5 linked regions of the Xenopus tropicalis genome follow. The protein of the gene in region 5 purifies or fractionates together with the protein of the main gene of each other region. This does not show direct contact. Links are inferred from orthologs where the notes say so. Each region holds a gene or a part of one and is shown on either strand. Other genes may lie near its edges.

What was found. Proteins that work in one complex are often made in the same cells at the same time.
Region 1: the proteins of ss18 (region 5) and smarcd1 purify together in Homo sapiens (affinity purification with mass spectrometry; 5 studies listed by BioGRID and IntAct, counting the BioPlex papers as one, with this or other methods). This does not show direct contact. The link is inferred for Xenopus tropicalis from reciprocal best matches to the Homo sapiens genes SS18 and SMARCD1.
Region 2: the proteins of ss18 (region 5) and bicra purify together in Homo sapiens (affinity purification with mass spectrometry; 3 studies listed by BioGRID and IntAct, counting the BioPlex papers as one, with this or other methods). This does not show direct contact. The link is inferred for Xenopus tropicalis from reciprocal best matches to the Homo sapiens genes SS18 and BICRA.
Region 3: the proteins of ss18 (region 5) and bcl7c purify together in Homo sapiens (affinity purification with mass spectrometry; 3 studies listed by BioGRID and IntAct, counting the BioPlex papers as one, with this or other methods). This does not show direct contact. The link is inferred for Xenopus tropicalis from reciprocal best matches to the Homo sapiens genes SS18 and BCL7C.
Region 4: the proteins of ss18 (region 5) and smarcb1 purify together in Homo sapiens (affinity purification with mass spectrometry; 9 studies listed by BioGRID and IntAct, counting the BioPlex papers as one, with this or other methods). This does not show direct contact. The link is inferred for Xenopus tropicalis from reciprocal best matches to the Homo sapiens genes SS18 and SMARCB1.

The regions. Positions count from the first base shown.
Region 1 is NC_030678.2:148,807,683-148,812,642, forward strand, and holds part of smarcd1 (SWI/SNF-related matrix-associated actin-dependent regulator of chromatin subfamily D member 1), read left to right. Parts: intron 1-2,726; coding exon 2,727-2,843; intron 2,844-3,573; coding exon 3,574-3,675; intron 3,676-3,787; coding exon 3,788-3,949; intron 3,950-4,960. UniProt on the Homo sapiens protein: Involved in transcriptional activation and repression of select genes by chromatin remodeling (alteration of DNA-nucleosome topology).
Region 2 is NC_030684.2:79,853,399-79,858,358, forward strand, and holds part of bicra (glioma tumor suppressor candidate region gene 1 protein), read right to left. Parts: intron 4,609-4,960; 5' UTR 4,604-4,608; coding exon 4,563-4,603; intron 3,682-4,562; coding exon 3,639-3,681; intron 2,486-3,638; coding exon 2,420-2,485; intron 1,766-2,419; coding exon 1-1,765. UniProt on the Homo sapiens protein: Component of SWI/SNF chromatin remodeling subcomplex GBAF that carries out key enzymatic activities, changing chromatin structure by altering DNA-histone contacts within a nucleosome in an ATP-dependent manner.
Region 3 is NC_030685.2:5,704,953-5,709,841, reverse strand, and holds the end of bcl7c (B-cell CLL/lymphoma 7 protein family member C), read left to right. Parts: intron 1-1,168; coding exon 1,169-1,262; intron 1,263-1,548; coding exon 1,549-1,710; intron 1,711-1,796; coding exon 1,797-1,882; intron 1,883-2,028; coding exon 2,029-2,136; 3' UTR 2,137-3,718; downstream 3,719-4,889. Other genes in the region: pydc1 (pyrin domain-containing protein 1), read right to left, coding at 4,755-4,782. UniProt on the Homo sapiens protein: May play an anti-apoptotic role.
Region 4 is NC_030677.2:153,150,702-153,154,866, forward strand, and holds part of smarcb1 (SWI/SNF-related matrix-associated actin-dependent regulator of chromatin subfamily B member 1), read right to left. Parts: intron 2,297-4,165; coding exon 2,165-2,296; intron 1-2,164.
Region 5 is NC_030682.2:110,346,349-110,352,032, forward strand, and holds the start of ss18 (protein SSXT), read right to left. Parts: upstream 3,503-5,684; coding exon 3,434-3,502; intron 435-3,433; coding exon 358-434; intron 1-357. UniProt on the Homo sapiens protein: Appears to function synergistically with RBM14 as a transcriptional coactivator. Isoform 1 and isoform 2 function in nuclear receptor coactivation. Isoform 1 and isoform 2 function in general transcriptional coactivation.

The DNA of each region.
Region 1 (4,960 bases), on a different chromosome or scaffold from region 5:
ACAATTCCCGCCTGCACCCCCTTACAGGTGATCGTGTCCCCCCCCCCCCCCCGAGCTGTTTGTAACTTCTGACAGCAGCCGCTGTGCGGCTTATAAAGAACGTTTGGCTCTGTGCTCATTGTGGCTAGAGAACAACAGAGCCGAACATTCCTTGTAAGCAGCATAACGGCTGCTGTCAAGTTACGAACAGCTCTCAGGGGGAAGCAGGACAGAACGGCTCTTGCAGGGGAAGCAGGGTACGGCACATCGGTGGGCAGGCAAGGTGGGGGAAGCAGGACACAACAGCTCTTGCAGGGCATTAGCATATGCTAATTGGGATTCGGTTCAGCCAGGACCGTTGATTCGGCCGAATTCGAATCCATCCGAAAAAGGCCTAATCCTGGCCGAATACCGAACCGAATCCTGGATTTGGTGCATCCCTAGTAGTTACAGGGCAATGTGTATTAGAGCGGTCCCCTTCTCTCCCTGTCTGACTGACCAGGGCCTTAGCTGTTAGGGCTAAGAGACATGGAGCTACTTAGTAGCAGCTACTTGTCAACGGCCTAAAAATGCCAGAAAATACCCTGCCACGGACAATACTCAGAGCAAAGCTGACCCGGGGACTGGTCTGATTGTCATATTGGAATAAAGAAGGATTTTTCCCCTCTGGTTTCACCTGTAGAAAAATGTGTGTGTTTGGTGTTTTGTTTTTGTTTTTTACCTCATCTGCTATGTTATTACGTTAATACTTTAGACCAGTCAACAGGCTACAGCATATAGTCATATTGGTGCTCCACAGGCGTTAGGAGACTCTTTACTGACTGCTTTATGAATCCCTCAAAACTGGTTAATAAGACCCATACTTATTATTCTTTTCAAAGTAATTATTTCCTTTTAAAGTAATTAATCTGAAAGATAAAAGTTTTATTGACAAGACCTCTAGAAAAAAAAAATGGTATGCTTATTGGATATTTCATCCTGGGGTTTAAGGGGAACTGCCGTTAAAATGAATGATAATGACATCCCTGACATTTTCCATTTTAGCGCTGAATTTTATCAGCAAGATGTGGGCTCAGCTTAATATAAGCTGACGGGAGGGAGAAGAGCCGAAGCTAATTTAATGAAATTCTGTATTGAGATGAAATATTTCCAATAGAAGCTGTCAGATCCTTTCTGTGCCATTTAATGAAGTTCAGGAAGAAGGGCCTATCTGTTTCTGTTATAATAAGATGCAGAAAGGCCATTTAAAGCAGTTGGAGACAGGGAACTGTTAAACTACAGCGGCTGTTTTCTGACCATATTGGTGCTTCTAACAAAACCTGTTCTCTGTTGGGGAACTTGGTTTGAGTGGACAAGCATAAGAAATACAATATTTGCAGTGCTCTTAGTTAATTATATATATTAAATTATAAGTGACTATTTATTTGGTAGATCTGGATGAGGCGCTTGTTTAAATACCAGAAAGATTTACTAGTGGGGAAGTGTCATTGTTAATTGAGCTTAACTTTTTAAGGCGGTATAAAAGGGATAGTGAAACATTGCAGTTTTAACAGCAGCATGGGAATAAGCCTATATCAACCTTATCACCCTGTTTAAAGTGGAACATCTTTCTGTCCCTTTAAATTCATGGGGATGCAGAATAACAAGCTACCTGAGCCAGACCGCAGCTGTGAAGGATCAGAGGGTAAATATGGAGGCAATACATTGCACACAATGATCCACTATTGCTTTAAAATAGACAAAAATAATTGTGCGTTTTTTTTTCTTTTTAAATTGATAGAATGACCCACTGGTATGTTAAAAAGGTATTAAGGTCATTAACACTAGAAAGGCCCTAAAAGCATTTATATACAGTATTCACTTAGTTTGTGCTCAGTAATTGTGTCTCCATTTCTAGAAACCATGATATATGTGTGTTTCATAATACCTGTACTTGTTCTGGTAGGGCTTTTGGGGCAGCTCATAAGTATTTATTATCTAAGTTTCCATTCAATACAATTGACCTGGCAGTGCTTTGTTTAGAGAACAGATAAAAGATGTCTAAACAAAGCAGAGCTCAAAACAAATGTGCTGAAATAAACCAGGTCTATGTATCGGGAGAAATAATGCTATGGTAATTTCATTATTTTAATGTTACTGGCCTTTTAAATAACAGGTTCTTGTGTGGATGAAAACGATTATTCTATGACTTCATACACTTACACGGGATTGTAATAGTAATTCTTAAGTTTGACAATAGCAACCAGTCAGTCTGTTTCAAACTGACAGCCAGTAAATGCTAGTGGCTGATTTGTTGCTGTGTGTTATCTCTCTCTAAAGCTGGCCTACATGGGCAGATCCGCTTGCCTGGCGATGTCGGCAAGCGAGCGGATCTTCACCCGATATCCCCACCTACAGGTGGCGATATCGGGGAGGCATGTAGGTGAATTCGATCGTTCGGCCCTGGGGCAGTTTGGCCCAATGGGGCAGTCGGTTTGGGGACCGCATCAACGAGCCGATTTGGTCCCCGATCCGACTGGATTTTCTAACCTGGCCGATCGATATCTGGCCAATTTCAGGCCAGATATCGGTCGGCCAGGCCCCTCGGTTCTGCCCCTACACGGGCCAATAAGCTGCCGAATCGGTCCAAGGATCCAATATCGGCAGCTATAATCGACCCGTGTATGGGGACCCTTACACTGCAGGTTGCTGTATAGTATATTTACAGAATGAGTACTTTTTAAGGGGTGTTTGTTTTTTTTTTGCAGGCGGCACTTTCTAAATATGATGCTACCAAACAGAAGAGAAAGTTCTCATCTTTTTTTAAGTCACTAGTTATTGAGCTGGATAAAGACCTGTATGGGCCGGATAACCACCTGGTGGAGGTGAGCACTGTGAACTTGCTGAAAGCCAGCAAAATATTTAGCAAACAAGGCTGCTTTACCATTGAATAAGACACAGTATGTTTGATAACCATTGATTGTGATCAATACAAGGAGTGTTGCCATTTTAAGGAGAAGCTTTTGGTAAAAACTCCATCATTGCTATAAAATATTTTCATTTAGTCTAGCTTTTTTTTTGACCATTTTAATTAAAGAAAGGCAAAGGAAGTACAGCCTTTGGGTTATCTAAACTTTAAAGTTCTTGTTTTGGATTGCCCCTGTGCAAACCAGCACATGCTCCACTGACCAGTCACAGGGGTTTTTCTCCCCCACTGCTTTCAGCAATCGAAGAGAAAGGCAGTGCCTGAATCACACATACTGCTGGAAGGTGTACCTCCACTCAGTAAAGTGCATGCATGGCTTGTTTCCTATCTGTTACCTTGGGAACTATGGACAGGTGGATAGGGATTTTTGTTTTTTTGTATGCAGCGGTTTTCGTCCTTGGTGGTGTCATCAGCAGCCAAAATAGCCTTTGATATTGGCCTTATAGAGCTTTTCTTTTACAGATCAAAAATATGAGTGAGCATTGAAATGAATAGGAAATCAGTCAATTTTTCTTTGCATTTTGTGACATTTTAAACATTGTAAACTACCAATATATTGATTTTGACAGTCTTTACATTATTTGTTTGTATAGAGTTACACTAAGTTACTGTAATATTTTCATTCTTAGTGGCACAGAACTCCTACAACACAGGAGACTGATGGTTTTCAGGTGAAGCGCCCTGGGGATATGAACGTGCGCTGCACCGTGTTACTGATGCTTGACTATCAGGTGTGTTCTTTGTGTGTACTATTTGAAGAATATTTCTGTGAATGCAGCGATGAAAGACAAATTCCTATCACAGACTGTGTGTTTGAGTTCTGTGTGTGTTTTTTAACTGTAGCCACCACAATTTAAACTTGATCCCCGACTGGCTCGCCTCCTTGGGATTCACACTCAGACTCGTCCAGTCATCATTCAAGCTCTTTGGCAGTACATTAAGACTCACAAACTTCAAGACCCTCATGAACGGGAGTTTATTATATGTGACAAGTATCTGCAGCAGGTAAGTGCCTATTTCCAATGAAATACCACTAATACAAAAAGTAAACAAAGCCCTGCTTTAAACCGTTTACGCTCGAAAAGCCTAATATCTGATTGTAACTGTAAGTTTGTGCCCTACTTGTTTAAGTGTTTCTGTTGTTCCCATTATGTTCTCCACATACAGCATACATAGTTCCATTGTATTGAAAAAAGACCAGAGTCCATCAAGTTCAACCCTTCCAATTAAACCCAGCACACACAACCTATACTGACCTATCTATACACTCACAGTTGTTAATTATGCAAATACTGCAATACTAGGAAAAGTTCTCCAGTTCTTTAGTGTATGTTTGGCATGTGGTAAAAGCGGATTATTTGATGCAAGTAATTTCTGGTGCAAAATAGACTACAGGCTCTATCTGCTTCAGGTTATTATGTTTGTCTGTATGGGAGCTACCCAAATGCTTAGAGACTCTACAGTGTACAGTAGTATTTTAATGAGCAAACCATAAGCTAAAGTATAGATGGAGAACATAATAAGCTCTCTGGGAATAAAATTGGGATGCTGATAGCCAGTACAGGTTATCAGGTAATAAAGCATGTTTCATATTAATAAGAGTTATCAGTCCTGGTTGGCTTTATGCTGGTCATATTTTTTGGAATATCTTACTAGATGACCCACAGGGTAGGCTGTTGTATACATTATGGTTCACACCTGTATAGCTACATCTTTCTAATCAAATTGTTCTGATTCCCTAAGTGGACACCCATGCAGTTCCAGGGAGGCTGTTTAACTCATATACTTGTTTGGCATTATTGAATTCCCTGTCTCTTTGTATCCTATGTCTCTAAAAAAAAATACAGTAACAAAGTTCATATGGCAAATATTGTATATATCACAGTATGTGTTGACCCTGTTTGTACTATTGTATTATAAAAATCTATAGTGCTGCATGTGCAGTAGCAGAATATAAACAATTTTCCATACACCTTTTCATCAGCAACAAAATGTTTTTTTTTTTCCTTCCATCCT
Region 2 (4,960 bases), on a different chromosome or scaffold from region 5:
GGACGGTCAAAATAGAGGGCTGGTCTGCATTGGGAAGGATGCTGGCACCCTGGACAACTTGCTGAGCTTGTTGTTGCTGCACAATGCCTGGGCTCTGGCTGTTGCCAGTAGGTGCCTGCTGGATACTAACTGCTTGCCCAAGATTCTCTGACGGATTGAACATTGCAACCTGGTTGGGTAAAGTTACCCCTTGGATTACTGTCTGCCCTGCTTGATTCAAAGATGTAGCCACTGACGCCTGGCTTTGAGTGCTCAAGCTTCCAGCCAAAGACACTGGCATTTGAAATAAGGTGGGTTGGCCAACCTGTCCAGCTTGCAGCTGAATTGGCCCTGACAAGATGTGAGCTGTGCCATGTGCATTTTGGGATGCGAGGACCTGTCCCAAGTTCAACTGGCTAGCAATATTCTGGTTAGTAAGAATTTGGGCAGGCAGTGCCTGGTTGAGTAGCTGGCCTCCTGGGCCCTGGCTGGCAATGATGTGAGCTTGTCCACCAGGATGGGAGGCAGCAAGGATCTGGCCTCCCATATTGGCCTGGAGGGCAGAAAGTGGTTGGACGGCTGATGCCCCTGCAAGCTGGCCAGGCAGAAGAAACTGGTTTTGCCCCTGCAACATAGCTTGGGCATGCTGGGCAGGTATGACAATACTGCTGCCTTGGTTTAGAAGCTGAACACTCATTGGCTTGCCAAGTGCCTGCTGCTGTGAAGGTGGCTGCTTAAACATATTTGTGGGAAGTCCCTGGGGAAAGCCGGACAGCACCACATTTGGTCCTGGCTTACCTGTCATAAAAGCCAAATTCTGCTGAGTCTTTGGCTGTTGCAGTGCAGCCTCTCCCTGAATGGTAAGTGTAGCATTGTTTGGATTAAAAGGTTTGGGTGATATCTGGAACAGTTTCTGTGGCAGGACTCCAGCAGGTTTTGGCTGAATAGGAGTTGGAGTTCGCTGAATAATAACCGGGCTGTTTAAGCTAGATGTAACTGTGAGGGACTGAGTACACTGTGCTGCAGACACACTACCAAACATAGAATTCCCATTAAGCGTTGTGGCCACTGCTGGGATTTTGTTCTGCAAGACTAATCCTGTGTTCTGTGGTGATACTCCACTTGATGTAAGTGTGACTTGCTGTTGCTCTGTATTTGTCCCTGCCAAGTAGCTGCCCACAGGTAAGTTAGCAACTTGAGTTGGTTGCACCTGCTTGGCAATAAGCTGTTGTGCAGGTTGGTTAATGGCCATGACCTGCTGTCCAACCACTTGTATCTGCCCAATGCCAAGCGCCCCACCAGGGCTGCCATTTGGTAGTCCTGGGAGGTTTGAGATTGGCTGAATAGTAACATTGCCAAGGCCGACTTGCTGAAGAAAAGGTTGGACACTGATAGCTTTGTTGACCACATCTGCCCCTACAGACTGTTGTACCAGGGCTTGATGGGTCAACACTGCTGGCTGTTGCAGCCCGATAAGGTCAGCTCCTCCAGAAAATATCTGGGGGGTTCCATCCGGGGCGGCCTGCACCACCGGCTGTAGGGTGGGAAGCTGGAAGGAGCCCAAGTCCAATTCTGCCTCAGCTTCCAGAGTCTGTTCTGTAATGTTAGCCTCCTGCAGGCTCTGCTGAAGGATGTCACAGGGCTGATCAGCACTGGCAAGGCTAGCACTGCCAGCTGAAGGGGACCCAAGAATGTCATCATCCTCCAAAAAGTCTAAATCTACACTTGCTGTGGGAGGGTTAGATTCTGTTGTTAGATGGTTTCCGGGAGCTTCCTGAACGTGAAGCTGTAACAAAAAAAAAAAACGGATAAAAACCATTTAAGAAAAAAATAGTTTCAGTATATTATTGTCACTTTAAACCTGAGATATATAATGCAGTAAATATGAAATGTACATGATCTATGCTCTATGATCTAAGGGTGACATGGTGGAAGACATCCTGCCAGTGTAGATAAAGGGCAGCTGTAAGAAGGATTCAAAATGCTTTGATAACTCAGCCATTTATTAATTTAATTAAATTGAGGGGGGGGGGGGGGACACTTAATGGGAAAGGCCCAATTTTAGGAATAATTGCTCACAAAACACACTGGAACTAGTTTTGTATTAGAGTTTAAGACCTATCAAGACCTGACAGGACAAAAGAAGACTCTAAAAGGTTTCAATAAGTCTGCACTGACAGGACAGGCAGCCTAAAGTTACACAAGTATCATTCAAAAAATTTGCTTCAACACCAAATATTTTTTTCACTGCTATGTGAACCCCTTGTAACATCCTGAAAATAACTAAATGTATTATATCTTGTAATAATATTTAAATATGTCCGGTGATAAACCCGTGCAAAGCTTAGACAAAAATATAGTGGAGAACCACTGACCAAACAAGTGCCAGTAAATTTCTAGTACTTTTTAATTAAATTAAACATATGAAAAAGTTAATTACCCCAGTGCCCACAAAGAAGGCACTTGCAGCATCTCCTGTGTTATCCAAGAGGTCATCTCCTCCAATCTAGAGAAAAGAACAAATACCATGATTACAAATAACTCTGATATTTTTGCAGAAAAAAAGCAAACTAGTTAGTCAGCTCAGTCTAACTATGGCTCATATTACTATTTACATAATAATATGAAACCAGTAATCCAGAAAGCTCTGAATTATGGGAAGGCAATCTCCCATAGACCTTATTTTAATCAAATAATTCCCATTTTTAAAAATTATTTTCTTTTTCTCTGTACCTTGTAATTGATCCTAGCTAAGATATAATTAACCTTTTTAGGCAGCAAAACAATCCCATTGGGTTTAAATGATTTTTTTAGTGTAGTTAAGGTAGGGAGATTATAAAAATTACAGAAAGATACTTATAGAAAGATCCCTTATTTATTAAAGGGTGAACTTTAGAGACCAGTATTTGATATATATACTTATAAAAATCCCATGAGAATAAATAAAAAGTGGGTAAATTTTTCTGTGGTGAGCTCTAATCTCACATTTTGACTAATCTGCCCCTATTTAATCAGATATCCAAAGGCTACAATGAAAGAAATTGTCTCTTGTTCCAGCCACATCCACCTTTAGGCTGATGGGCCATGGAGCGAGTTAGTCGCCCGTGATAGAACCCTGCAGGCAACTCCAGAAAGCCAAAGGCCTTTCCACTTGCGACTCCTATTGTTGCCAGTGGAAAGGCATTTCTAGAGGTAAGTCACCCGCAGTAGCAGAGATCTATTGCAGATGACTAACTCGCTCTATGGGTCATCAGCCATAAGGGCTAAACTCCACAGGAGATTTCGATTTTGTGGGTCAGATTTTATCTGATCCTCATAGGCTGTAATGTTAAGTCAGTTAAAATGTTTTGTTCATGCTACATCCAACAATGTATGTCAATGAGGAAAAAAAAAGTCCGTCAGACACCATCAGATTTTATCTCATCAGATGAAGATGCAGCATGCAGTATTCCCTTCCAACAAGCATGTCATGTTAGATAGCAATTCTTTCATGTAGTTTACACATCAGATTTTTGTATCAGTTCCATTACATTTTAACCTATGCAACTACATCCAACTTGTAGGATACGTTTTGTCAATCCTACGCCATCATACAAATCTCCCCTGGAGTTTAGCCCTAAGGGTCCACTAGTGTTTGCCTTTTGCTTTCAGTTACTCACCTGATCAGGTCCATGTAAGAAGTCATTCAGAGCCTGGGGGTCACTGAAGTGAAAACAAACAAAAAAAAAAAACAAAACAAATTGCTGATTAAATCATAAATTCAGTTATATTAACTTTTTAGCATCTAAGCTTGTCAGCTTTAGGATCCTCACTTGTAGTACATTATGCATTAGATAGTTCTACTGAACTGTAGGACAAGCAACAACACCTTATTGTATACATACAGAAACAAATTACCTGATTTTTGTCAGCTCTATAACATAAATTTTAAACTGTGGTACGAGTCCTTAAATGTAAGAAAGAACAAAAAAATCCTGATATTTGGTGTGTTTGTTAGATGCAACACCACAACACATTTTCCATTAGAAGGGTGGAGTTCAGGGACCATGGAGCACTGAGGTAGCTATCTCCATTTGGTATGGTTAATTTTTCTGAATTTTGGAAAAATCTATGATTGGTGTGTGCACCAAATAAATGTTTCATGTGCAAGACTGCCTACTATTTGTATTACTTTACTTAGTTTTACCCACAAGTTAAAATCTCAAATCATGTAAGATGTATGAAGGGACTACTCACCATATAGCTTTGCAAAGGGAAAGAAGCACACCAGTTGTGTCGGCAATGCCTTTAAATCATTTATTTGCAGAAATGAGCAAAACAGCACAAGCTTTCGGGGGTGACCCCTTCCTCAGGTGCAATACTTATTGCACCTGAGGAAGGGGTCACCCCCGAAAGCTTGTGCTGTTTTGCTCATTTCTGCAAATAAATGATTTAAAGGCATTGCCGACACAACTGGTGTGCTTCTTTCCCTTTGCAAAGCTACATGGAGAAAAGGCTTGGGAGCGGCCGTGGAAGTTAAGCACCCTCTGAGAACATGTATGTAAGTGGTGTGCTGAAGATTTTTCTTTATGTTGACTACTCACCATATCACATCTAACAAACACCGGCCATCTTCTTCGTCCATGTCAACTGCAAGAAAAGAAAGAGCGGTCACTTCTATTGGTCAAATGAAACAAACATTATTGAATTTTAAATTTTGCCTAAAGTTTGCCCATTTTTTAGGATAAAAAAGTACCAGCCACAGAAGAACTACAGCAAGCAGTAAGCTGAAACATCACTAGGTGTACCTCAAGCTTTTTAAACAGTGAAAAGGGAAACGCTTTACATTGGTAAAGAAAAAGCAGCAAAGAACAGTTTATATTTCACCCAGTCTTCCTTTCTATATACTGCAGAAAATAATTTTGCTGTTTCCTGTAATACGCTACTACAAGACACTGCCAAGACTTATTTGCTCCAACCTTGATATATTATATGAAAAGTT
Region 3 (4,889 bases), on a different chromosome or scaffold from region 5:
ATATCAGCCAGTGCTATAAACCCCCAGGACTTCCCGGTTCCTTCTATACACCTCTAGAATATCTATAAACCTTAAGAACATATCAGCCTCTGGTATAAACTCCCAAGACTTCTCAGTTCCTTCTATGCACCTCCAGAACACCTCAATCCATTCTATATACCTCTAGAACATATATGTCTCTTCTCTATACCTCCAGAACATCTTGGCCCCTTCTATATGCCTTAAGAACATATAAGTCCCTGCTATAAAGCGCCATAACTTTTCAGTTCATTCTTTTTACCCCACAACATCTTAGTCCCTTTTATAAACCCCCAGAACATCTTAATTCCTTCTATACACCTCCAGAACATCTCAGTCCCTACTATACTCCCCCAGAACATCTCAATTCCTTCTATACTCCCCTAGAACATCTCAATTCTTTCTATACACCTCCAGAACGTCTCAGTCCCTACTATACTCCCCTAGAACATCTCAATTCCTTCTATACACCTCCAGAACATCTCAGTCCCTGCTATACTCCCCCACAACATCTCAATTCCTTCTATACACCCCCAGAACATCTCAGTCCCTACTATACAACCCCAGAACATCATAATTCCTTCTATACACCTCCAGAACATCTCAGTCCCTACTATACACCCCCAGAACATCTCAATTGCTTCTATACACCTCCAGAACATCCCAGTCCCTACTATACTCCCCCAGAACATCTCAGTCCCTACTATACTCCCCCAGAACATCTCAGTCCCTACTATACACCCCCAGAACATCTCAATTCCTTCTATACACCTCCAGAACATCTCAGTCCCTACTATACTCCCCCAGAACATCTCAGTCCCTACTATACTGCCCCAGAACATCTCAATTCCTTCTATACACCTCCAGAACATCTCAGTCCCTACTATACTCCCCCAGAACATCTCAGTCCCTACTATACACCCCCAGAACATCTCAATTCCTTCTATACACCTCCAGAACATCTCAGTCCCTACTATACTCCCCCAGAACATCTCAGTCCTTGGTATAAACCTCCCTGCAGAACATCTAATTACTTGCAATAAACTTAGAGACCACCTTATTCCTTGCTGAAAACCTGCAGAGCACATTTCTCCTTACTATAAACCCCCTGCTAATATCTCTGTCCCACCCAAATGATCCCCTTCTGCAGGAGAAGCCTGGGGCCCAGACTCCCACAGACCAACAGAAGCGCAGAGCACAGAGGCGCAGGAAGAGCCAGGCTCTGCTAATGATGGAGATCAATGGTGAGAGAAGTGCTGGGATTGGGCAGCTCAGAATGGGAATGGTCACATGTTACTGGGTAAATGCCACCTGGGCAGGTGCTTTATTGGCCTTTTTCTTCTACCACCATTTACATTTCTGTAAATTATTATTTAGGATACACGTGTGCCAGTAAGTCAGGGAATCATGTGACATCACTAAGTGCCAGTTAGAAGTGATGACATCACTAAGGATTATTTATGAGGAAGTAATTTACAGGGTATTTATTGGTTAATATAAAAGCATAACGGGTGCCTCTGTGCCAATTAGATGACAGCAATAACAGTTCCTTCTCGGATGCCTCTGGGGCGAGGGGCGAGGGAAGCGACAGCCCAAGTCGGACCCCCGAACTGAGCCGCAATGTCAGTCCCTGCCCCTCATCCAAGCCAAAGACTGAGGACTTCCAGCCCCCTGAGTTGGGCCAAGAAGGGGGTAAGAACCATAGAGATGACTTCTGGGTGGGGCTGAGGGGCAGAATAGGGACAGGGTGGGACTGATTGGTTTATTTGTATGTACAGATGGTGCCCCCCTGCTCCCCATCAGAACAGATGAACCCCCAATGTTAACCAAAGAGGAGCCGGTGGCTGAAACCCCTGCAGCCCAGGTGAGTGACATGTTGGGACCTTGGGTGGCACTGAGGGGCTTCCAACTGAATCTACAGCTGATTGGAGGGTTGCCTGGCAGTCGTTATGTGGCACTTAGTGTCCTACTAGGGATTCAATAGAATCTTAAATTCTCCCTTCCCCCCAGGTACCCAGCGCTGCCGCCATGTTCCCGCCTCTGACAGAGGAGGAGGAGTCTCTGGACGCCCCGGCACTAAAGAGATTCTGTACAGACCGAGACATAATGGGCAGATAATCCTCACAGGCTGGCGGCCATCTTACTACTCCTCTCGCATCTTTTCCCGCCTTCTATTCTCTCCACAAAACCAGCTTTTCCCTGTGGAAAGATGAACAAGTGCGTCTGACTGTAACCCGGAAAGTGACCCCGGGACCCCGAGCCCCCATAACAGTGAATTCCATCGCCTGTAGAGAATCAGTCCTGTTGGCCATTTTGTTTCGCTTCATGCCCCAAGCTCCAATGGCTGCCGCTCTCTCTGGGGGTTGCGACTGCTGCACAATTGTATCACTGCAGCCTCTGGTATCCACCATTATATACTCCTCTTGTGGGGAGTGTCATGTTGCCAGGACACGCCCCTCTCTTACACCCTAGCAACCAGGCTGCAGTTTCAAATCCAAAGCGGAGAAATGCAGAAAAATGTATAAAATATACAATTTTCCAATTTATATTTGTCTTTCTGTACGAAGTATAAATGTCAGTATTATATATTATAATATCCATGTCATGCTGATGGAATCTGCAGCGCTATATAAATATATACTTACACCAATACATTTAATTCTACTGACAGACTGCGCTCCTGGGCCCTGGCACTTGTGGCCCCTGATTGGCCGGATTTTGCCCTTATACACAGTGGCGTTTTATAAGGAGAATCTCCCAACCGTTGTCATACATTCTTTTGCACTTCCAAATCCAACCACCAGATGTCGCACCTTAGTGTATGGATAGGAATGAGTAAAAAGCAAAGGAAGCATCGCCATCTAATGGACGAAAGTGGAAATACATCTATTGGGCGATTTCTCATTATTAGCGTTGTTGCTGCATGTTTATTCACTTGTAAATGTAAAGTCCCTTTATCTCTCCAATATATAAAATACCCAGAAACCCTCCCGGGACTCTACTCTATTTTGTCTAGACAGCTGCCCCAGGATTGAGCATGTGTCTCAACCCCTTCTCCTTGTAGAGTGTAAGCTCTTTTGGGCAGGGCTCCCTTCCCCTCTTGTATCGGTTACTGATTGCTTTATATGTTACTCCTTGTAGAGTGTAAGCTCTTTTGGGCAGGGCTCTCTTCCCCTCCTGTATCGGTTATTGATTGCTTTATATGTTACTCCTTGTAGAGTGTAAGCTCTTTTGGGCAGGGCTCCCTTCCCCTCCTGTATCGGTTACTGATTGCTTTATATGTTACTCCTTGTAGAGTGTAAGCTCTTTTGGACAGGGCTCCCTTCCCCTCTTGTATCGGTTACTGATTGCTTTATATGTTACTCTGTATGCCCAATGTATGGAACCCACTTATTGTACAGCGCTGCGGGGTATGTTGGCGCTTTATAAATAAATGTTAATAATAATAATGTTGCAGACTACACCAATTCCCAAGCAGCCATGGCTCATGTATCTAAACTAATTACTAATGAGCTCTGAGCAGCGAATTGGCTTTGCATCTGTGTAGATAATAAGTAATAAAGTGGTCGGGTAACACTGTCCAATCAGGGGTTGCACCATAAAACCGGGCAAATGTTAAATACATTTATTCCCATTCATTCCTAATAATGCAGGGCAGCCCTGGGCACTGCAGGGTTAAACTGGGAACAAATTAAACACATTGGGTTCATTTTCTGTCTTTTTATTTGTTACAAAATAATCGATTTCCAGTGAAAAGTCGAATCTTTATCACGTACAAAACAGTATAAAACAATGGGTGCAACAGGGAGCCGGTCCCACCCACAAGGAACAGGGATGAGCCAAAGGGCATCGTTGTATGGAATTGCCCACAGATCTGGGGAAACTGGGCTGAAGAGCTGACAATCAGATTGCATGTGAGTGGGGATGAGAAACTATCATTGTCGATTACCGATCCCCCCCCCGCAGGCCCAGTGTGGGGGTCTGTGCAATTCAATCTGTAGGGAAAGAAAACAAATGATCAGGGAATGTTCCATCTCATCCCTCCTCTTATCTAGATTCGGTATTTGGCACAACCCCGAAACCTTCATGAAAGTTTCAGCCGAATCCGAATCTGCATCCGATAATAGTGGATTCAGTGCATCCCTAGTTACGACCCCATCATAGACTTCACACTGCTTATTGTCAGTCTAAATATTAGGGGCCCCTGTGCCTGTATGCGGGGGCCACAGTAAGGATTTCTTTAGCGGGATGAACCCTACTGTTTATTAGTAGCAAACTGGGTAACGTTTCGGGGGTATGCCCCTTCCTCAGACATCTGCCGCATAGTGATATGCCAAACAGTGGCATGCTGGGAAAATGTAAAAACAAAAACAAAAACACCCCCTGCTTTTTCCAAAAAGGGCCCCAGAGTATCATTAATGTGACTTGTACTGTCCCTACAGTGACGGGTTGTAGCAGGAAATGTGTGCGCACACTGCCACCTGGTGGTGAAGTTTGATTATTGCAGATAAGGGAATTCCTTACCAGGCCGGCGAGCAAAATGCTGGGCAAGAACCGCCACTGGATTGACCCAGACATAAAATATTCCATATATCGCTTCCCTGTACTCCTGCAGCCAGGTCTATAGCCAAGGACTGACGCTATTAGGGCGATATTTTGCCTTCCCTGGGAGCTGCTGCATCGCTATTTTATTTCCGTGACTGTTATTTCCAGACTCACCTGTAGATGTCGCCCTTTTAGCACTTGGCTATTGCGGTTGATTTTCTGTAATAGAAGGAGAAAACAGGTCTGAGAGAGAGAGAGACAGAGAGACAGAGAGAGAGTGCAAGAGACGCTCAGGGTTCTTTGTGTTTGTGAGTAATAAGGCAACA
Region 4 (4,165 bases), on a different chromosome or scaffold from region 5:
CACTGGTCCTAAAGATCATTTATGGTCTCCTACATACCTAGAGGCTAAATACCTTCCACATAAATTACAAGGATTATAGTTGAGAAATATTTTATAGGCAGATGGTGGACAAACAAAGTTATTCAATAAATCTACACTTAAGATATTTACTTTTTTGGTGTTACGGTTACAATTTGGAAGTGAGCAGCCCCTCCAGTGATTAAAGGGTGTCGTGCATTTCTACAATGCCATCTATTTATAATGGTAAAGAAACTTGTGACACCCTTTAACACACATTTCGTATATAAGTTTTGTATATAAAAGTGGAACAAATTATAGTACCCTTCTTTGCAAAAAGCACCAATTAAGGATTTATGGCCTGTTAGTGTAAATGCGAGCTACTGCAGACTCAATGCTAACCTTAAATAGAGAGTTACACACTCCTACTTAAAATCAGCCATGATTGGTACTATATGTCACATAACCACATGAGCACAGCTCAAGATAAATATAAGGGTCTGGAAAAAAAACAAACTTAGAATAAGCTGCAACACTTTTAGTATTTGTGGTATAGTTTCACAATGTAGGTATCATCTTATAGAATTTTGGCACTACATATTGAAATGATCATTCCTATCACTGGTATCCAATGATTCAAATGCCTAAGCACAAAAAGCCTAAACTGTTAAGGAAAGCCATTGTTTAAAAACAGACTAACTTCACTATGACATTTAAAGAAACCTTGTCTGAATAAACATGACAATAATGAAAGACAATACTGGGATACTGTTGAAAATCTAGTCCATGTAAATTGCGTTATTAATATCTATTTTGCTAATGTCAGCAAAGAAAATACTAACTGGTGACAACACCTCATTAAAATCTGTATCTAAAAATAGGCTAATTATTCACAAGACAACAAAGGTCAGGAACAGACATGACAAACATTATTAATTGTTAGCGTCAAGCCCACTAAACACATAACTTCACCCTTTAAAAGAGACTGTGTACCAAAAAGTGCAGAATTCAGCCTACCCAGAGTATGTCCCGCATTACTCTGAATGGTGTTACAGGACTTGGGCAGTCCAAAAGTTATTTAAAAGCAAAGGCCATAAACAAATTACAAAATAAAGTGCGGATGACATTTAATACATAGAACTGTGTAGAACTATTCTTTGGGATTGGCTCTCTTATCAATTAATAAAGCCAACAAAATACATAGACAGAAGTTTTCATTGCCAGTTCTGGTGGGTTCAAATAACTTTTTAAATAATCACCCCAACGTGGAATATTCTTCCAACCTGTACAGTGTTCCTTACCCTCCAAGGAAACAATAATACTGCAGCTACACTGTCATATGCAGTGGAGAAGAAATGTCACAAACTTACAATAATACTGCAAATATGTATTTCATAAAGCCACCAACTCTGCATAAAATAGGGAAATATTTGGCCTGAAACATGCATCAGCATAACTATTCTCTACAGGTAAAGGTATACTTATTAAGCTTACCATATAAAGCAAAATTCTATCTAGTTTAACAAGACAACAACAATTGTTTTGGCACCAGATTTTAGATATTGCTGGACAATATAAAGAACACTAAAGCTACCTATGGAATTCAAGCTGCTAATTAACATACATGGTTCTGCTGTGGCCACTTGTTTTAAATAGGGATATACCCTACGGCTGTTGGGATCTTAAATGAAGTGTTTTGCATGTTCCACTGGCAGAAAAGAATACTGGAGAATGTCAAGTTTATCTCAATGTGAGACAAGGGAGCAGAAATTTGGAGAGCTATATAAGTACATTGGGCACTAAGGCCAATTAGGGCTAAAAGAATAAAAAGAGAGAATTTCCTAAAAAGACAAAAACTGGCAAAATTGGCAACAGATGGTGCTACTAAGCTAAAGGCGAGCACTGGGAGAAATGTCCAATCCCACCAGCTAAAGTCAGATTAAATACCAACACATCACTTGCAAAGTGCGATAACGATTAAAAGTGCAGCTCCATCGGCTGAAGCAACGACAGCACAGACACAGATAAAGACACATCACGTCATAGGCTGGTGCGCATAAGCTGGAAAGTTTTCCTCGCAGATGCTCCGAGGAAGTTCCACCTTGTTGTCTATATTCTACCCCGGCGGGAAGCCCGGAAGGAAAAGCGTATGAAACGGCGGTGGCACCTGGTGTTCCGGTCCTGGTCCCGGATCTTCTTCTCCATTTCGGCATCAGTGAGGGTCTCCAGGAGGGGGCACCACTGGTCAGCATCGCCTGTATTTCGAATAGCAATCTCTACTGTCGGCAGTGGGTTTTCACTGAAACAAGAAAATAATGTGAGAAGGACATGACTATTAATGGGAGTTTTAAAAGCATAGAAACCATATAGAAAGGCACAAAGTTTCATAGCCACATTGGGAAATCCTATAAGTACTAAACATTTGCCCTAGAATTATACAGTTGGCAAGCAAAACAAATTTCATTTTAAAGTCAGTTAAAAGCAGACCCTTTTTTTCATGACTATCTCATAACCAGCACTAAGCAGAAGACACAGCTGGAGTGGCTGATGAGGAGGAAAAACATTTGTTTGTGTGTGAAGTACAGGATATCAGAACATTAATTGTGACTCTGATAAAAGAGCCACGTCAGATAAAGGTTTACATACTCAGAAAATGTTAAACTGATCCAAATGAATAACAAGAGAAGCCTTCTAGCTATGCAACTTAGCGCTAGGGAACAAAGGAAACAGATACAGAAAGACAACATGCAATTTTTTTTTTTATTTGCAATAATGAAATTAAATGGACACAAGTTTTTATGCGTCTTGAAAAAAATAGGTAATGTTTGGTAAAAAGGGGGAATATGCTATAGGAATTTAAATTAAAGAAAAAATCACTAATCTTTACTCACTTATTGTACACTTGCATAGACCAGTGTCATTAAATGGTCTCCATCCCTTTTCTTGAAATAGCAGCAGTCCTGTCTTAAAGGAACAGTAACACCAAAAAATGTATATATTTTAAAGAAATTAAACTATAATGTACTGCTGCCCTGCACTGGTAAAAATTGTGTGTTTGCTTCAGAAACATTACTAGAGTTGATATAAACCCTGGTGTGTAGCCATGGGGGCAGCCATTCAAAAGAAGAAAAGGCACAGCTAACAAATAAACCCTGTAGAATACAATGGTGTCTTATCTGTTATCTGCTATGTAACCTGTGCCTTTTCTTCTTTTTTCAGCTTGAATTGCTGCCCCCGTGGCTACACAGCAGCCTATTTATATAAATTAAAGTAGTGTTCCTGAAGCAAACACACGAGTTTTACCAGTGCAGGGCAACAGTATGTTATATTTCAATTACTTTAAAATACTTTCATTTTTTGGTGTTACTGTTCCTTTAAACACAGCAGATTCTTCCGATTCTTCCACTGTAGCTGCTAAATCGGTCTAAAGGACCATTATCAGTCCACCTAGAATCGCCCCGTGTATGGGCAGGAACAATAGACCTGCCCTACCCACATCTGGCCTGAAATTGGGCAGATCTCGATCGGACAGGTTTGATTTTTCCATCGGATCATGGACCGCATTGGTTTGTTGATGTGGTCCCTGAACCAAAAGCGCATATACCCGCCGTTCTAATTTGAGTACCCCGAATTACCCCGGTATAGGGAGAAGATTTGCTTGCTTGTTTGGTGAGGATCTCACCATGTATGGCCACCTTAACTATAAAGGTAGAGGCACACAAGGATCTGTTTAAGTGCCAAAGAGTCATCTGATTTACCTAAATAACCTAAAGCAAATCTGCCTGCAAGAATGGCCCAAATCACTAATAAGTGAATAAAGCTAGTACTTAATCCCAAAAGACTTAAAGCAGCTACAAAAGGTGGCAAAAGTGTTGGTACTGAATGCATAAGAAAGCCATGCATTTTTAAAATTCCCTTTCATACCTTTTGCAAACAAACACTACTTATTATTTGAAAACTAATAAAAGAATCATAATAAAAAGCAACTTCTTCTAAAGATATTCTTGAAGACAGGACAGTTAAGGAAATGTAAATCATATTGCATATTTTATCTATGTAAAGAAAGCCTATTGTGATACTAATTCTGGATGGTAATAATTTTCCAAGTCATAAAAATCAATAGAACCTTCTGTATATGAACATTTTGTACCTTGTCCTTTTGTTCTAT
Region 5 (5,684 bases):
CCTTTTTCTCTGTAATAATAAAACAGTTCCTTGTATTTGATCCCAACTAAGATATAATTAATCCTTATTGAAGGCAAAACAATCCTATTGGGTTTAAATGACGTTTAAATGATTTTTTAGCAGACATAAGGCATTAAGATCGAAATTACGGAAAGATCCCTTATCTGGAATGCCCCGGGTCCCGAGCATTCTGGATAACAGGTCCTATACCTGTATATGAAAACATGATATTGTTATAAGTATTAGTAACCATATACAAAATTTCAAAAACAACCTACTGTCAAAGTACAGAGACCTCTATATAGGTATAAACAATTTAGTGCCACACTGTGAAAGAGAGAATTATATTATACATACTGGGAACATTCTGAGGTTTTTCCTTTGTTCTGATAATCCATTATGCATTGTATTAGATGGTTATTTTCATCCAGCATCTGAAAATTAAAAAAAAAAAAAAAATTTGAAAAATAACTGACTGATCAGTTAAAAAGCATTCTGTACTACAAAATTAATATACAAGATTAAGGTTAGTGTCAAAATGAGAATGTTAAATAGTGCTTTGGCATCATTTCAACACTTCCAACATCCAGATGCACTTTGTTCACCTTTTGGATGCCAATTAGTTCACCTTCCATTCATGTCACTAGTGGTGACTGGCAAATTCCCTTAGGGTGAAGACACATGGAGCTTCTAGTAGCAGCTACTTTTTCACAGATACTAATCGCCAGAAAATACACTGCCAAAAAAGGGTTAGCTTAGTATACACCCAATGTGCAATAGGCCAAAGAGTCATAATTTATCTACTTAAAAGGAGAAAGAAAGGTAAAAACTAAGTAAGCTTTATCAGAAAGGTCTATGTAAATACAGCCATAAGCACTCAAAGAAATGCTGCACTGACTTCTCTGTCAAAAGATTTCTTGTGTCTGTAATTCATATGCCAGAGACACACAGCTCTCTGCTGTCTCCTCTCTCCTGCTCCCCCCTCCTTCAAGTATGCTAAGAACTCACTCCTCCCTTAAGAATGTGGATCTGAGCCAATCAGCAGGAAGCTCACTCATACTCTTACTAACTGAGCATGTTCACTTGGTCTGGGTGTCTGTGCAGGAGTGAGGCATAATGGGAACTTTCTTTACACAGCTCAGTGTTTTTTCTTCCTGTTTGGCTTCTGATCATCTAACAGGTGAAATATGGGGAGACTTAAGGGCACTATTTAGAGAACTGAATGTATGCCTGCAGCTTGAGATTAACTCTTTATTAGCCTTTCCTTCTCCTTTAAAAATAATGTGCTTTAGAACCAATAAAGAAACCCTGTGCATAAGAACTATTGGCAGCCTTTGATTAGTGATACCAATGAAAGTGACACTGCCATGTTCTTGTGCAATGAAAGACTTAGGTTATGGTGGTCAAAAACACAAGAATGTAACCCACTTATGATTTCCTTAGTTAAAGCATGTTTCCCCTTATGTGTATGGGCAAGGGACAAAGCTAATCTCTTACATGCTGGAGTACTGACCTAACTGCATATCGTTGCTTAATTTTATAGCACCAACAATGCACACTATATTTTACAAAAATAAATGAAAAAGCAAGGTCTCTAGCCTCTCAGAACCTTGTATAGCCATGTCAAGCTCTCAGCAGGAACATACAGGACAACCATAGGAATCATGCGGCAGAAAGGTACATTGTGCTGCACTGAGGGGGGAGACAGCACTGTAGAATTTTTGAAGCTATCCAAAATATTCATAGCCATTTAGCTTTGATAATCTTGAAAAATATGTATATATATATATATATATATATATATATATATATATATATATTTACCCTGTACAGTTAGAAACACAAATGTAACTAAAAATTAACAGTATCATATGAAATGCCAAGCACAAGAATCAGAATATATTTATTTTACATATTTCTCTGTGACAACGACTTCATAGAATATCTACTACATGAAACAGTACTTACAGATATACCTGGAGAACTGTGAAGTGTAGTGGCCTTTAATGGCCTGGGCCTACAGCTAAAAGCCATCATGGCTGCTCACTCAGACACAAACACTGTATAAAGGGGTTCCTGTGCAATAGTGTTATTCCAATATGAGAGTGAAATTTTGTAGGAGTCAATGCAAACAAAGTACCAGTCACAAACAAAAACTCTGGTTCAAAACCAACAGCTATGAACAAGGGAGCCAAAAAACAAAAGTAACCTTTTGCCTACTTAAAATAGAATTTTAGCCAGATTATAAATATTGATAATTTTAAACTGATTTCTTAAAAATAATTACAACTGAATGCAATAACAGCCTGTCCTTTGCTGTTCTTCCCACTTTTACAGCAGCCATACATGGTTGAATCAACACAGTATCCCCCTGATACAAGGGGCCAAACACATTAGGGCAGCCTATTATTCTGTTCAGGACATAACTCCATTTTACTTTTCCTCCTCATCAGCACGTACATCCCGCACCTGCTGATATGCTTGTGTCTCAACCCTTTCTCCTTGTAGATTGTAAGCTCTTTTGGGCAGGGCCCTCTTCACCTCTTGTATCGGTTATTGATTGCTTTATATGTTACTCTGTATGTCCATGTATGTAACCCACTTATTGTACAGCGCTGCGGAATATGTTGGCGCTTTATAAATAAATGTTAATGTAATGTAATATGCTGTATTTGCAGATACATTTCCAAACCTGTCTGACACAAAATGACCAATATCCACAGTACATAAATATCTGTCGGGACCATAAGCCCCCAAATGTACTGAAAAGCATTTCACTACGTGCATGGCCATCTTTACTGCTGGCTCTGATTTCTCATACAATGTTGCAGAAGCTAGATTTCAATTTCAACAATGTCTTGCACTTTTTTTTTTTTCTAAGTCTGTTAATTAGCTGCATCTTCTAATTTGTTTCAGTAGTCGGAACAAACAGTACGGAGACATTGGAGATATTGTGTTCGATAGTATTTGCATCGAAGAATAATGCACTGAAAAACTGTAACAAACGTACATTGAAAAGTTGCTTAGAACAGATTTTAATGATCTTTAATGAACCTCTTTAGGGTGGCTGTTAATCCCCAGTGGCCCAGATACAGTACAGATAAAATGGCTCACCAATTTGGCTCTGCTGACACGTTTATGTGCCTTTTTTTGTCCTTACACCTACAGTGACCTTCCTTGGTAATATAACTGATGATAAAAGCTCCAGATACCTTGTCTATGGTTAAACCCAGGCACATACAATATGTTTGTGGCACTTTGCCATTTATTAATCGATAGCATTTAAGTAGAACAGTAAGGACTCCCCACCCCCGTACACTGCCCCCCAGCCTTAGAAAGCACTACACCAGTGCAGTTGGGGGAATTCCCTCCCGGCAGAAGGGCACGACTAAGCAGTTGCATTGAACGTATTTTTTAATATCGGCGCGGTTACCTTTTGAATGGCCGCAGGAGTGATCTCCCCCTTCCCCCGCTGCCTGGGAGCCGCGAAAGCTACAGACATGATACACGAGCTAAAGAAAACAAAGGGAGCGAAGTGTAGGCACGAAGCGTCTCTAAAGGGAAAGACTGGCGAAATCTGGAACGGACTTCCCACTGCCGCTCTCACACACCGCGAGATTCCAGCAAGCGACTCAACAACATCCTAGGGGGGGGGGGTGCGGAAACAAACAGGCAAGCATTTACTCCATACAGGCAACATATATCTAAGAGGCCCTTAAGGGAAGCTCAGACTTGTGTAACTTCTTAATAATAACAACAACAGAATAATCAACGAAGACATAAAATAAACGCTATAACTTCCCAGTCTACCAATACACCCCTGTAAATACAGAAAGGTCTCGCCCAAAAGTTTATACCATAATCCTTTGCGAAAAGAAAAGCAGGAAATGGACAGTTTCTTCCAAATCGTACGTTGTTAAAAACAATCGAGCGAGGATATCCATGTACCGTTACAGTTGAGGGGTTATGTTAAACGTCTATGTTACCCTTAGTAAATGGCTATCGCTATTTTAAGTACCAGCTAATATAACATTCCCCTCGTTTGAGATAATGGTACGACCCATCGGTCAATTCCATATTACCTATTGGCGGGTATGGCTTGCAAAGAAACTAAGGTGGGCTATAGTTTTCTTATTATAACTCGCAGAACTATAATGATACATGGCGTGTAAACTGAAGCGAAGCGACCCTCACTGAGATACAGGGGTTTTGCCCTTCTCAATGATGAAGAAGAATGAACTTCCCAGAAGTTAGGTATTGACACGTGATGAGCTATAAACACGTGTCTTGCAGTGTTTGGCCCCTTGGAATCAGCGATTGGCTGACTTTCTGCTATAAACAATACCGCGAAGTCGATTTTGAGGGCGGGAGTTGCATTTTCAAAGAAACCCTGAATTTGCTGCAAGTTAGTTACAGCAGCTTTACATACTCTCGTTCAATGTTTAACGTTTGTTTTATAATAAAGTATGTATTAAAGTCTCTTTTCCGTCTTTTTTTTTTTTGTTAATGCGAGGTAGAGAGAGAGAGAGTTGTAAAGATTCGGCACTCACCAGTATGGGGCACAGGCTGGGTGCTGACAGAAATAATGCATCAAACTCAACAGTAGAAAGTTTCAGCATACCATCTACGCGTTTCGATCACCACAGGATCGTCATCAGGATGAAACGCGTAGATGGTATGCTGAAATAAATCACTGACCTGATTGATGCTGTAGCTGTGAGTGCTTTCTACTGTTCAGTTATATATATATATATATATATATATATATATACTTTTTAACTTTTTTATACTTTATCATTTTCTGAATAACATAACACAAATTTTGTACAATGCACAAAGGTAAGAAGTCAGTTTGTGCTGTATATTTTACATTATATCACTGCTGGGACAGAAAATTGGCCACAGCCACCTCATAAGAACGCCAGTGTAGAAATATTGTAACTTAGGTTACCCCAAAGTGCCTCTATCACAGTGCTCTAAGACAAAGTATTATTAGCACTCATTTATAAAGTGTCAACACATTCCACAGTGCTGGACAGCAAAAACACTCGCTCCTAAAAAGATAGAGGCGTAGGGGACTTATCTGATGAGCTAAGTTGTCCCTGGTGAAGAGGGGAGAGTTTAGGGTAGCTCCAGTATGTAATGTAGATCCAGTCTAGGAGCATTTACGTAGTAGGAATGTCCCTAGTGCCAGGCAGAGTCAGAGAGGAGTGTTTGCACATCTGGGAGTGTGTAGGCTCCATCCAGATCCATGCTGAGAGCTTGAAATCTAAGATGAGGTTCTGTAGCAACACTCTATACTGAGGACATATATTGGCGTTAGTAACCCAGTGGGTGTGTAATTTACTAGAGGTGAAGGGCCCTAAGTCAGACATTGTAATAATGACTGTATATCATCACTGTGTCAAGAACCATTATATAACTGTTTTGCTATTGTGTTTAAGGTTCACTTTAGGTCAGGCACCTAACCTGAACCATCAGGAACAGATTGGATAGACACATGGATGGGTGGCACAAACATCTTTAATATTGTCAAGAGATGTTGAGACACTGAGTCTGATGGTACTCTGTACTTAAATTGTGCTTCTGTGTAGGATGGAAAGGTGGCCTTATTAAAGATATTGAAAACCTACCAGAACAGAGAACACACATGTAAAGTATAATTTAGAGCTATCTTATTCTTG